3 linked regions of the Caenorhabditis elegans genome follow. The gene in region 2 interacts genetically with the main gene of each other region. Each region holds a gene or a part of one and is shown on either strand. Other genes may lie near its edges.

Region 1 (3,751 bases), on a different chromosome or scaffold from region 2:
GCTCTCTCAAAGAGAGCACATAGGCGTCACGTCTTGATACACATTTGATGATGAAAAGGAAAAATGACGATGAGAAATGAGGAAGCTTGAGAAGAAAACCGAAGAAGAAAGATTGGGGTTTGTTGAGTTGTGTTCCTTTGGAATGTGGTATGAGAACTTGAGAAATGGGAACATCTGGAATATAAAACTATGAGGAATGTTCGGTGATCTTTCGTATTTTTTGCCATGTCAATGGAACTGAAACCGTCTAACTTGATGATAATGACCAAGATAGTCCCTTCAGTTTTGGAACAAGAGTAACAGACTCAGCAACAATATTTGTTTCAGATTGTCTTGATAAATTGCCAAATCTAAGAACGATACAATTTAGAACAATATCGCATGTTTCAACAAAGAGCTCAGTGATACTACAGTACACCTACATCACCAATTACTCCTACAGTACCAATACAGTACCCCAAAAATATATATGTTTTCTGAGTGTTCTCAGCAGTTTTCTCGTATTTTTACTATATTACAACAATTGTTTTAAATTTTCGCGGATTGTGACCTTAAAATACATTTGATTTCGACAGAAATCCGAGTGACCATGAATTTCTGAAATAAAATAAATGCATTTTAATCGTCTTCTTGTTCAATTGTTTTCCACGGAGGAATGTTCTGAAAATTGCAAATGTTTATTTTTTAAACTTTAAATTCAATTTATATGTCGATAAATTTATTTATCGATTAACAAAACAGAGAAACAAAAGCATTCTAAAAACTAATAAGGCATGAAAATAAAGTTACTACCACTTTTATCTAATTATTCGCTTCCAAGCTCTACACGAACAAAATCGAGAATGTTAGCATTGTGGGATTTTAGGTACTCATGAACAGATTGAGATGGATTCAACATGAAGGCTTGGCGGAGAAGAGCAGTTTCCGATTCATCAATATTAGTTACAACAACTGGATCAGCATTTGGATCATGCCCTTCTTGACTACGAAGCCCTTCTTGAGTTTTCACAGATTCTGCAGCTTCGCCGAGGGATTCCGGGGACATTCCGATAATGTGCTGGCATATCTGTCCGGCAAGTTGCTGACTACTGATTGACCCTGTAAATGTTAAGACTTAATTTTTTACTTTATTTCTTTGTTTCACCTGGACTCGATTGATTTAGAGCGATGAGTGAAATGAACCGTCCCATCGGGATATCATCAGTTCCATCTTTAGGATGTGAAGCTCCAAACAAAGTTGTTCCTTCGGGAGCTTTAAAAGCCTTAACTCTTCTCACTGTCATGTTCTCACCAAGCTTTCCGATTGAAAGGGAGAGCACTTCACGCATATTTTTTCCGTCGGAATCGGTCAGATCCCCAAGATCATAGGTGAATTCTTGAAGTTTTGAGCCGCTCGATATAGATTGTGGCTTAGCTTTTGCGAGAACAGAGTTGGAGATGTTTGACAACAAATCCTTGAAAGCTCCAGATCGCGCCACAAAATCAGTTTCACAACTGAGTTCTACCACAGCTGCTGTTGAGTTGTCCGTGACTACAGATACAAGACCATTCGATGTTACACGAGTTCCAAGTCTGGAATATTCTATAACTATTAAAATAATTCCTTGTGAAGTCAACATTCCAAATTAAAAAAATTTCAAAATAAACACTTACTTTGCCGCTTTGGCCCATCCTTCCTTCGCTGCAGCTTCTTTCAACCATTTTACAGCACTATCCATATCATTTTCGCCAAACTGAATAAGTGCTTTACGACAATTCACATAACTATAACCAGTCTTTTTTCGAAGAGCCATTAGAGCCTGAAAAACAATTATTTTTTATTTTTTAAAATTAATTAGGGTTCCTAGATTTTAATACCTCTTTAGAGACTTTCTTTTCGGCCTCAGCCAAGTTTCGACTAGTCGTTGATAGTAGACGTACAAATGGAGCTCTAGCAAACATTTCTAAAATTGGAAACTTTAGTTTTCAGTCAATATTGATAATTATTTTAAGAGAATAAAGCAAATTATGCAATTTTCTGGGCATTTTTTGCATTAAAAAATGAAAAGGCAAGTGCGCCCCAATGAGAAAGACGGCCGCGCGAAAGAATTCGTTTTGAACATAACAAGGAAAATGTGTTTCTTTTTTTTTAATTGCGAGGTAAATTATATTATTGAATTATTTTATTGATTATTTATAATTATTTTTAGGTGAAAACTTTAATACTATTATTTTTTGCTATTTTTTTGTTGAAATAAATTCTATAATTCCATAGAAATTTTCAGTAAAGAGATCAATGCCGAAGAGCAATCCGGTAACACCTAACAAACAACCATCAGAAGACTGGAATGAGTTACTCACAGAGTTCCGTGGAAAAGGAGGTCGGGCTCTTCAGAAAACATTCATCAGAAAATTGTGGGCAGTTCAAGAAGATATTATTGCCAATGCAAATCCATCGACTCTTCGGTGTATTTTCTTCGCACCAGCCTTGTTGATTTGTCCGGAAGGTATAAAATTATCAGCTGAAATTCTCCCAAAAATTGGTGTTGGAAATGGACTGATACTACTCGAGAAGTTAATACTAAAGTTCAATCTCACCGAGTAAAGTTTATACGCTGAAGAATTCCATTTATATATATTTTTGCAGCACTGAATGTCAAAGGTATGGTGAAGTATTCGTCACAGCTTGGAGAAATGCATATCAGGAGGCTAACTTTGATTTGACAGAGGAATTGGAGACCGATGTGATCAGTGTCATGTGTCAGCATGCATTATATGCTCACAGGCCTACCTGCACTAAATTTCAAAATGTGATTGCCGCATTTGCACACGCGAAAAAACTGGACAAAAGTGTAGATGAAATGGTGACAAGGCTTCTCAATGGATGTCTTTACCGAGCGCTGGACGCTCCAAATTACATTGTACAGTCATCAGCTGCAGAAGTATTTTTCAATTTTTACCCACTAATTGGCGAGGATACTGAAGACATGGATAGGATAATGGAAAACCAACATCGATATATGATGGACTTATTACGTAGTGATGTTATTTCCATTCGAAGCGAAGCCACGAAACATGTCTTGAAGGCAATCAGCGAATTCTGGCTTCTTATTCCAAAAAATATCGTGAAGGAACTCATGGGATACATCATTGATACAGTCGCGAAAGACACTGTTGTCAGCGTCCGCGTCGCCGTTTTTGAAGGTCTTAATGAAATGGCATTTGTTCCGGCATGTCTCACAGCATTCGAATATGGATTGAAATGTGCCGTTGATCCAGCACTACAGGATAAATCTGAACGAGTTCGTCTTGCTGCTTACCAAATAATTTCTCGTCTGAAGAATCATAAATTTATTAGGTAAAATGAACCCAAATCAACAAACTAAAAAATAAATTTTCAGTGTGTTCGATATCATTACTCGAGATGATGCCATTGCGAAACTCGATCTGGAAAACGTAGAGACCTGCCGCCGTCAACTGATTCCAATTATGCATATTTGTCTTCCTATCTCGAAAAGTCTGGATGAAGCATACTATCGTCCTCGTGTCAACTACATGTTAGGAAAAAGTCGATTGGCTCTTTTGAGTTACTTCCGATTGCTTGGCCCAATGAAAATCATTGATGCATCCCAAGCATCCAAACTTATCGAAATGTTTATAACCTGGGCATATCGTTATCTTCGTAAAAAGGATGGCCCTCCATTACCAGAGACTGCCGAAGGATACAAAAAAGCGAGAGCTTATCTTGAGTGTGCTCTCATTCTGTACATGT
Region 2 (5,000 bases):
CTTGTATAGTAGTCGTCAAAGCAGTCGGCGGCGTTCTATTTTTTTTTTGCTTGCTTGCTTTTGCTATGTCTCGTGTGTGCCCAATAACAACAACAACCACATATATAGCCGTCTTCTGGATATATATGTATGTGGGTGTGTGTGTGTTATGGCTTTTCTTCGAACTTTTTATTTCACTCGGAAACTTTCAAGATTTGTCTTTTCTGATGCTTTTTAGGATTCCAGGAATTTTATTCGTTCGAACTAGTAAGTATGAAGTTAGAGTTCACAGCAAATTTTCATCAAAATTCGGAAAAAAACTGGTTTTTATATCGTAGCCCTACAAAAATAGAGAAATAAAAAAATCGAAGGGTCAGATTCACCAGTGTTATTTTTCGATAATTTGTCAGAAAAATTTGGGAATTAGAAACTTTACGAAGTCTAGTGAGTTGCAAATTTTTAAGAATCAAATTTGCTAATTTTCCTTCTTATTTTCGGATCAAATTTTCATTTCATATGAAATATTTCATAAAAAACAAAAAATCAGATTTTGTAGATAGAGCCCACAATGTAAAGGAACTACAACATCTGTAGAACCGGATCTGTTAGATTTTTTCTTCGAGTTTTACAAAATTTCAGACTTCCCAAGTTTTTTGTTTGAGTTTTGGCTCAGAAATTTCGAACATAAAACTTGGAGAATCAGATTCCCGGCTTTTAGAGAAAGTTCCGATTAGGGGCACCACAAATTGAGAAAACAAACATTCTGGAGAATCAGAGTTTCGATTTTTTGTTGCCAAAAACGACATCCTTGCTCCAACTGTCAGCATGCCAAACAACAGACACCCCTGTTGAAAATTTTAAATTCCAAATGAAACGGGGATGGGGTACATCGTAGTAATAGTAGTAGTTGGTTCTTAGGGGAGCACATCTCTGCTTCTTCTTCTTCGCAGCTTTTCGGTCTTCTGCGTCCGTTTGAGTGGTCAGTCAGATGTATGAGAGTGCGTTCCGTATCTCTCTGCGTCTCCACACCCTTGACCACTCTCTACGCCGTCGTGCTCTCTGTGTCTCGCCCGACTATCTCGAATAGAAAGTGACCACTGCTACATAATATTCGAATTCGCGGGGGGGGGGGGGTCTGTCTACTGCTGCTGCTGCTGGGTGGCCGTTTTCCTTGCCACACACTCTCTCGTCTCTCTTGCTCTTTGTGCATCTCATAGTTTGCTACTCGCGATCAGCTGTAGTCAACGTTCTCATATATACAGTATGCTTTTTGTTGAAAGTTTTGCCATATTGCCACGGCAAATTTTTTGGTACTTTAGTGGTTTTTTATTTCAAATCACCACGAACTTTTATAATTTTCCTCGATATTTGCATTTCCTCATTTTTTGCCAATGAAATTGTAAATTTTTCGCATTATTCTGTATGCTAGCACTTGTTTTCCAGCTTTACTTTACTCCCTTGTCCTCTCCCCGCCCCCAAAAGTACCAGAATAAGGTGTTTCCAAATTAGTTGTCCTTATCTTTCGAGGAGCCTCGTTTTAGAAAATGTGTACTTTTCTGCTCAATTCCCGGACACTTTTTCCGGGAATTCAGAAAAAGTCTGAACCACTACTAATTCTAATGTGATATTCTGAAGTTAGTCTTCATAATGATATATGCTAGCAATTTATATAACTAATTTTTCACATGGCGCACACATATCCTCATATCAGAACATATCAGAAGTTCTTGTTATTTTCCCGTTCCCCAAAAGTAACAGAGTAATAAAAAATTTCGAAATCCCGAGGGACGGTCCTTGGGGAGGTCGGGGTCATCACCCTCAACGTACATGGTACCGGGGGCCTGGTGGCGACAGGTAGTGAGGTCTCTCTTCTCAGTCCTGTTAGCACACACACAGTGGAGGGGTGCGTGCGCGCTCGCTCACTCGCCTACAGATCCGAGATGAATCGTAGACGCGTATTGAGGAAGACGGTGTTGGGTGGTGATGGTGTCGTGGGGAAGGGGGAAGGATGCGTACTATCTCTATATTTCTCGAGAACAAGAAGAAGATGATGACGATTCACTTTCCTTCTACTCGTCTCAGAAAGACACGGAGGACGAATTCTGCGGGTGCCTTTTCCCCGAGTAAATTTTCACATGTTTACAAAAAATGTTCATTATGAGCCTCTGTATTGCTTAAATTTGTCAATCATAAAATATTTTAAATAGGCAGTTCTCCTGAAAATAATACATTGAAAAATTTCGTTATTAAACCATTTTTGGTTTTTTTGTTGGAAATTTTTTTGTTGGCTTGATAAATTTGGCACAATTTCGTTTTCCGAGAGGAGAACAACTTTTATTTCCTTCTTCATCTATTTCCTCCTTTTTTTCAGAATTCTCTAGAAAAAAAACAAAAAAAAAAGAAGGCGTCCTCTCTCGTCATGAATGAATAACACTAGTTCCGCCTCACTTTTTCATGTTCTTTTTTCTTCTTTCTTTTTTCTTTCTTTTTTTCAAGTCCAGAAATTCCAGGATCAAGCAGTTCATCCGGCTGTAGTTCGTCATCTACAGAGCTCTACGATCTTGCAGCTGCACACGCCGCACTTATATCCCGACAGCAACAGATTCTCAGTCAGGGTGTGTTTTTGTGGAAAAATTAAAACAAATTGAGTTTTACATGTCCGGAAATGTGTGTCTCGCCACGAACTTTGTGGAATTCGTTGGGAGACCCTATTGTTTTTTTTAATAAGCTAAGAAATTGAGATTTTCGCTCATTCATGTGAAAAAAATAACGCTCGCTAATCTTTGTATTAGAATTAGAGTTGATTTGCTTTTATAATCCAGTTCAATTTGTCTACAAATTTTCTTTTTAAACAATTAAACTAGTTTGGAAAATGGATAATTAATTTTTAAACCTAACCGTTGAATTATTGATCGAAAAATGAAAATTAATTAAAAGTACTGTAAACTTTAAAGGAGCATACCTTTAGTTTCGTACTGGGTTCCACCACGATTCGAGAAATCATACATTTTATAATATTTTCTCGATTTTCGTGCCTAAGATATCTTTTTTTAATATTTAATTGAAACAAATTTTTTATTTTAAAATGTTCATTCTAACCGAAATTTCCAAACCCCATTGTTTGCTCCCGAAACACGAATTTTCAAATAGTTCAGTACTGTAAGATTTAAAGGCGCCCAAACTGTCTCTTGCAGTAGGTCTCGTCACGATCGGAGAAATTCTAAAAAAGTTTTTGTTTTTTCGTTTCGAATTTTTGTTTTTCTGCTCAATTTCTTCGCTTTGTTAGCTAAAAAATGTGTAAAATTTATCATTAAAAAAAACAAAGTTTCAACAATTTTCAGTACCTCTTCATATAATTCACATGAAATTGTCTAATTTTTAGCCAATTTCAGAGGATTTTCCGAAAAACTCAATAATTAATCAAGAATTGTTTCAGCAATCCCAATAATACCGGAACACCAGCTGGCCGCCGTCGCCGCTCACCATCAACATCACCAGCAGCTTCACCCATCGGTACAGTACCAGCTCGTCGCTGCCGCCACCCATCACAATCATCATCAGCCGCAAGCGGCACAACCACACTATTCAGCAGTTGTGCCACGATCTGACGGTTTGTTAAATAATGTTTTAAACGTTGAAAATTGTTTTTTTTTTCAATAAAAAAGTAATGTTTTTTTTAATTTTTCAGTAATACAACAACCACCACACTTTGCTCTGCACCACCATCTTCAGAATTTGGTTCAACAGCAGCAGCAACAGCAGGCTCACCATCATCATCAGCAATTAGTTGGTGAGTCGACCGATTTTTTTTCACGAAAACAAAAAATTAAAAAATAATTACCGAAAATCCGGAAAAAAACATTAAAAAATGAACGGAACAATTTCCCTTTTTTTAAAAGTTAACTTATGAAATTTTTGAAAGATAAAAAAAAATATTGGGAAAAATTTTCAAGCCTCAAAAATCTGGTTTTTAAAACTAAAAACTAATTTTAACAATAGTTTCAAATTTTTCTGTAAAAACCAAAATTCCCAACAAAATTTTTTTGAATCATGATATTTGTAAAAATCTATTTTCTTGATTTGTTAACAAACTTTCGAACCATTTCCCTTTTTGTTTACTTTTTAATATCTCAAAGTTCACGTGTAGTTCTGTTAGCCGGTCTTTACAAATTTAATCAGTTGCTGCCTGTCAAAGTGCACAAGTCCTTCTACTACTTTATTTTCCATCTCCTCTACCGTAATGTCCTTGTCTCCCCTGAATGACCTACAAAGAACACACTCCGCTCTTTCTAGAAAAGACTGCTTTCTCTGTTAAAGCACATGTTTTTTGTTGTTGTTACTCTCCGTCATCAGCTTCGGGGTGTTTTTTTTATTCTGGAATTCTTAGAATTTTCTCAGTTCACCGTGACTCACTTCTCAGAACTACTACGATTTTCTAACAGAAATCTGAAAGACATTTATTGCGAAATATGATGACTAAAAAAGAGATCAAGTTCGGCTTTTTTGAGCCATTTTTTCCGAATAAACCCGTTTTTTTTAATGTTCTGAATTTTCTATCATTTCCAAAAAAAAATATTGTGAAAAAAATTTTTATGATGCTCTTACTCTTTGCCATTTAAATTGGAACACTAATTGTCAATTTTTCAGACATTTTTCCGCGTAGAAATAAAAATTGGCCTATAAATTGTTCGTTTAACAATTAATTACTTGATAGAAAAACGATTCTTCCTTTTAATTTTTTTTTGAATAACGGAAAATTATATATAAAAAATGCCTATTTTCTTTTCTGAAATTTAGTATGAAAACCAGTTAAACACTACTTAGTTAATCTTTATTCGATATATCTTTATCAATCTGAAATTCACTAACGATTCATTTATGACGCTCAAACATGTGAACTCCGTTGATCACATACACACAAATTCACGTTATGACGAACATAACACTAGATATGTCGAAAAACGCATATACACAGATTATATTGCTAGTGACGCAATTTTTGAGTGAAATGGAAAAAAGGG
Region 3 (4,533 bases), on a different chromosome or scaffold from region 2:
GCTAAATACGACTTGTAGTTTGTAGCCTAGCAGACCAAAACTCTTCAAAAGCTCATGGGTCTGCTAAACACAGACTCTAGTTTGTAGTCTAGCAGACCAAATTCTCATTGGTCTGCCATTTCAGAATTGTAGTTTATAGTCTAAAAAGCTTCTCAGGGGACCTAATTCAATTTCAAATTCGGACGCCGCTGCTGTCATAAAATCGTTACTAAACTTGCGAAATAGCAATTTCCAAAGAGAGAAGAGTCGCAGGAAGATTTAATTAAAAATTAAATTATTTCGAACGCAAGCTCGCTCTATTGAGAATCTGAAGAATTAAAAATTCTAATTTAGGCGGCTAACAGAAGGGAAATCAATAAGAAGTGAAAGGAGAGCAAAAGTTTTTGCCGAGCAATGGGGAGGGGGGGGGGTGCTCCCTCTCTCCCGCTGAAGAAGACGTCGCGGCTCTCTAAAAGAGGCGGCAGAGAATCAGAGCACTCGGCTCGCGGCCTAGAAATGGCATGTGTCAGGCCACGCCCCTGTGGTTGGTTTAGACCGTTTTATTACAAAATACGGATACAGTTGGGTGGGGGGGGGGGGGGGGGGTGTGTGGAGGCAAAAAGAAGAAAAATGGGTGTTTGTGTGTGTGTGTGATATAGAATGATTGGGGTGTTTAACACAAAAATGATGCTTTATCAAATCTTGTTAACAACAAACTCCAATTAAAACGAAACCTGGGCGCAATGGGGTGGTGGTTGGAAGGGGCACAAATTGAGTTTCCTAGTACTAGTTCGTTGATCCTTGACACAATTGAGACCTTTTGTTGTGTCAAATATTTGGTAAAGAAGAGGTCGTCTTGGTGGGTGTATGTGGAAGATCAAGGGATTCAAAGGGCTTAAAAATTAAAGAAAAAACGGGAGATAACAAGCAAACCAAATCGAGGGCAACTCATCAGAAGAGAGATCGATAAGGCAGGTGATAACAACAACAAGCTAAATGGGGGAACTAGAAAAAAAAGAAAAATAAGAAACAGGCATTTTGGAAACGAACAATTTGTGGGGTAGATGGGCACAGGCAAAGATATTGAAAAGAGGAGAATTTTGAAGAAAACAAGATGGAGAGAAGAACAGAGCATTTGAATGAGGGCGGGCGAATTGGTTGGTTGGCTGAAGGTCGTTGAGTGGGGGGGGGGGAATTACTTGGCACCGAGAGCTGGGAAAGCATCGTCAGAAGCGTTGAATGGAGTGTTGTTGCGTCCTCCATGACCTCCTTGACGTTGTCCTCCACGGCCTCCACCGCGTCCACCTCCTCTTGGTCCTCCACGTTGCGGCCTCTCAGAACGGTCGTTGCGCTCGCGTTCTGGACGATCGTTGCGGAAAGTGATCGAAATGTCGAGCACTTGCTTTCTTGGAGCCTTGTGGATTACGACGACCTCGTCTTCCTCACGATCTGGGATGACCTCCTTCTTGATTGGAACGAGCTTGCCAAAAGTATCGGCGGCTCCCTCTCCGGCCTTTCTGGTGTTGAACTTTGGAGCGTCAGCCTGAAACAAAAAAAAAAATAAATTCCAAAACTAATATTTTATACGACTCACCTTAGCCGCAGCCTTGAACTCCTTAAGAGTCTTTTGCTTGGCAAGAACAGCCAACTCAGCCTCGTAGGCGAGCTCCTCAGCGGTCTTCTCACGTGGAACCTCTGGCTCGGTGCTCTCAGCGCCCTCTGGAGCAATGTTCTCGGTTTCTCCAGCCAACTCGTCCTTCTGGTCTCCCCAGTTGCCCTTTCCGTGTCCGTCCTTCTTGTCGAATGAGCGAACTCCGGTACGGTCGGATCCGGATTGACGATCGAATTGACGCCCACGTCCACCACGGCCTCCTCCACGTCCGCCAGATGGTCCACCTCCAAGGGTGAATCCTCCACGACGTCTTGGGGCACGGGTATCTTGTCCGTCTTCGAAAGAGACCTCTTGCTTTGGCTCCTCTCCTTCTCTGTTCTCGCGAGTGAATCCTCCGCGGCCTCCACGTCTAAAATACAAAGTTCAGTAAAATGAAAAAAAAAATTAAAAATTTAAGCGTTTCTTACCCAGCTGGACGAGCAGCACCGCGCTCACCGCCTCTGCGGGGTCCTCCACGACGGTTCTCGCCTTGTGGACGATCACCGTTCTCGTTGGAGACACGTTCTCCGTCACGTGGACGGCCGGCTCCCCCGCGTCCGCGACCACGTCCTCCGCGTCCACGTCCAGCAGCACCGTCGGTTTTGGTGGCGGCTGAAATAATGTTTAATTAATTTAAGAATAGGAATGCCAATTCTTACCAACTGGAGCAGCGGCTGGCTTGACCGGCTGGGCGGGCTTCACAGACTTTTCCTCCTTCTTCTTGGCGGCGATTTGAGACACCTTTTGGATGAGCTCTCTTGGGTCGTCATACTCTGCAAATTATCGATTTTTTATAATGTCTTCTGGGCGGAGTATATCGCATATGAATATTGCGCAATATCCCATCGGGAAGATAAGATAATCATCCGGCGATCATCATCATCAACCACTCACCATCGTCGTCGTCGGATGGAAGACCGAACTTGTTGGTGACCTGGCAACCGTATTCAGTGCTCATTTTTGCTGTTTGTGTTGATTCGATGAAGATAAGATTCCAAGTGCAGGAAGCTTCTGTTCAATTCAATAATTTCAATGCCAAGTTAATCAATAACCCATAATATGGGGATACCTGCAAGAACGTTAGTTTAGATTTCAAATTTTCAAACAAAAATCGATATTTAAGAAAAGAGTATAATTAGCCAGACACCGTTGCGATATTTTAAATCAGTTAAGCACTTTTCACAACTAAAATCAAAAAATAAAAAAAGCAAATTGCATTTTCTTAAGGGAATTTTTGAATGTTCCAGAAAGAAATCGAATCAAAAGTCAGAAAATCAACAATTGCTCAAAATCCACTATTTCGGAATAAAATAAACATTTTTCAGTGCAATTTTGATCAAAAATCGGTGATTTACTGCTAGCAACCCAAAAAATTACAAAAAACCGGCGAAAACGGTCAAAAAAAATCGGAAAAACTGTTCAAATCGGACAGGTGAAGGTTTGGCTGCGTATCACAATAGTGTAAACTGGCGTTTGCGAGCCGCTACGCAGCCAAATGCGACCGCCGAAATGGGCGGCAGTTTGAAATCGAAAACTAGTCCTCGGCCATTTTCAATCAATTTTTGGTTGGGGGAAAACTTGTTTTCCAATTGTTTTTGTTGTCTTAAAGTATTTGAAAAGAAATTTATGACATTTCCAGCCCAAAATGTGTGTAAAAAAAGTAAAAATGCCGGGAAAAAGTATTTATTACAGCGGGGGATAACGAATAATAGTGGAAAAACTCGTTTGGTGGTGAAAAATTGGAAAACTAGAAGTTGAAAGTTTGTTAAAATCACAGATTTCGCGAGAATTATGCTATATTTACACAGAAAAATTAAAACAAAAATCAAATTAAAAAGCTCTTCATCTTCTCTATTTCCGCAGCTCGGGATCACAAAAATATTTACCAGCGAGCACCTTTTTACGAATCATAGACAGGTGATAAATATCCGATTGCACTAGGGAAATGTCCACTCCAGATAGATTGGCTTCCAGGCACTGAAAAAGATAAATTAAGAGCTTAAATTTCAGTTTTTAGTACCTGAAATTGCACGAAGACCTGCGCCGGCTTCCGATCGAGCATTTCCAAGCTTACTTCGTCCTGGAAAATTATATATTTTTTATTTTAAAGCAATTAAAAAGCCCGACCCCAGAATTCTTCATAAATATCCTTGCTTTCAGCGATCCGTGCACATCTCCATTTCTTGAAATTTCCAGCAAATTCCAGCCGAGTGACGGATTTCCAGCCACCCATTTGGCTTCTGGCTCACACATCACAGAATCCACGCTTCCCGTCAAATTTGTGCTGAAATTCACGTTGAGAAGTGGCGCCGAGATGGAAGATTCTGAGTTGAGGCGATAGTCGACACGGAGATCTGAAAAGAAATGCGGATTTTTATTATTAGGCTTTATTTTTGGCGTTTGCATTTAAAAAGTACTACAAAAAACTCAATTTTATTTAGCAGACTCAGCAATTTTGCCAATTTCAATAAAAAATTTGGGTCTGCTACACTACAAACTACAAAATCAAATTTAGCAGACCTATCAATTTTCTGCAGTTTTTAATAAATTTTGGTCTGCTAGACTACAAACTACAAACTCTTAATTAGCAGACCCATCAATTTTCTGCAGTTTTTAATAAATTTTGGTCTGCTACACTACAAACTACAAAATCAAATTTAGCAGACCTATCAATTTTCTGCAGTTTTTAATAAATTTTGGTCTGCTAGACTACAAACTACAAACTCTTAATTAGCAGACCCATCAATTTTCTGCAGTTTTTAATAAATTTTGGTCTGCTAGACTACAAACTACAAAGTCTTATTTAGCAGACCAATCAATTACTGCGCTTTTTAGGAAATTTTGGTCTGCTAGACTACAAACTACAAACTCTTAATTAGCAGACCCATCAATTTTTCGCAATT

Evidence for each region. Genes that interact genetically often act in the same process or in processes that back each other up.
Region 1: of lit-1 (region 2) and tsfm-1, a change in one rescues a mutant of the other (synthetic rescue), as found in Caenorhabditis elegans (one study listed by BioGRID).
Region 3: of lit-1 (region 2) and vig-1, a change in one rescues a mutant of the other (synthetic rescue), as found in Caenorhabditis elegans (one study listed by BioGRID).

Annotation. Positions count from the first base shown.
Region 1 is NC_003283.11:12,269,609-12,273,359, forward strand, and holds tsfm-1 (Elongation factor Ts, mitochondrial), read right to left. Parts: upstream 1,944-3,751; 5' UTR 1,942-1,943; coding exon 1,858-1,941; intron 1,800-1,857; coding exon 1,654-1,799; intron 1,573-1,653; coding exon 1,145-1,572; intron 1,099-1,144; coding exon 806-1,098; 3' UTR 663-805; downstream 1-662. Other genes in the region: capg-2 (CAP-G condensin subunit), read left to right, coding at 2,276-2,580, 2,627-3,337, 3,381-3,751. UniProt on the Caenorhabditis elegans protein: Associates with the EF-Tu.GDP complex and induces the exchange of GDP to GTP. It remains bound to the aminoacyl-tRNA.EF-Tu.GTP complex up to the GTP hydrolysis stage on the ribosome.
Region 2 is NC_003281.10:13,712,083-13,717,082, forward strand, and holds the start of lit-1 (Serine/threonine kinase NLK), read left to right. Parts: upstream 1-1,962; coding exon 1,963-2,102; intron 2,103-2,475; coding exon 2,476-2,594; intron 2,595-3,415; coding exon 3,416-3,589; intron 3,590-3,667; coding exon 3,668-3,769; intron 3,770-5,000. UniProt on the Caenorhabditis elegans protein: Has a role in the Wnt signaling pathway controlling the asymmetry of cell divisions during embryogenesis. Operates in the AB and EMS cell lineages influencing cell specification.
Region 3 is NC_003280.10:1,319,203-1,323,735, reverse strand, and holds vig-1 (Hyaluronan/mRNA-binding protein domain-containing protein), read right to left. Parts: upstream 2,700-4,533; 5' UTR 2,589-2,699; coding exon 2,525-2,588; intron 2,404-2,524; coding exon 2,290-2,403; intron 2,243-2,289; coding exon 2,059-2,242; intron 2,001-2,058; coding exon 1,574-2,000; intron 1,523-1,573; coding exon 1,175-1,522; 3' UTR 663-1,174; downstream 1-662. Other genes in the region: fcho-1 (FCH domain only protein 2), read right to left, coding at 3,482-3,607, 3,651-3,710, 3,758-3,984.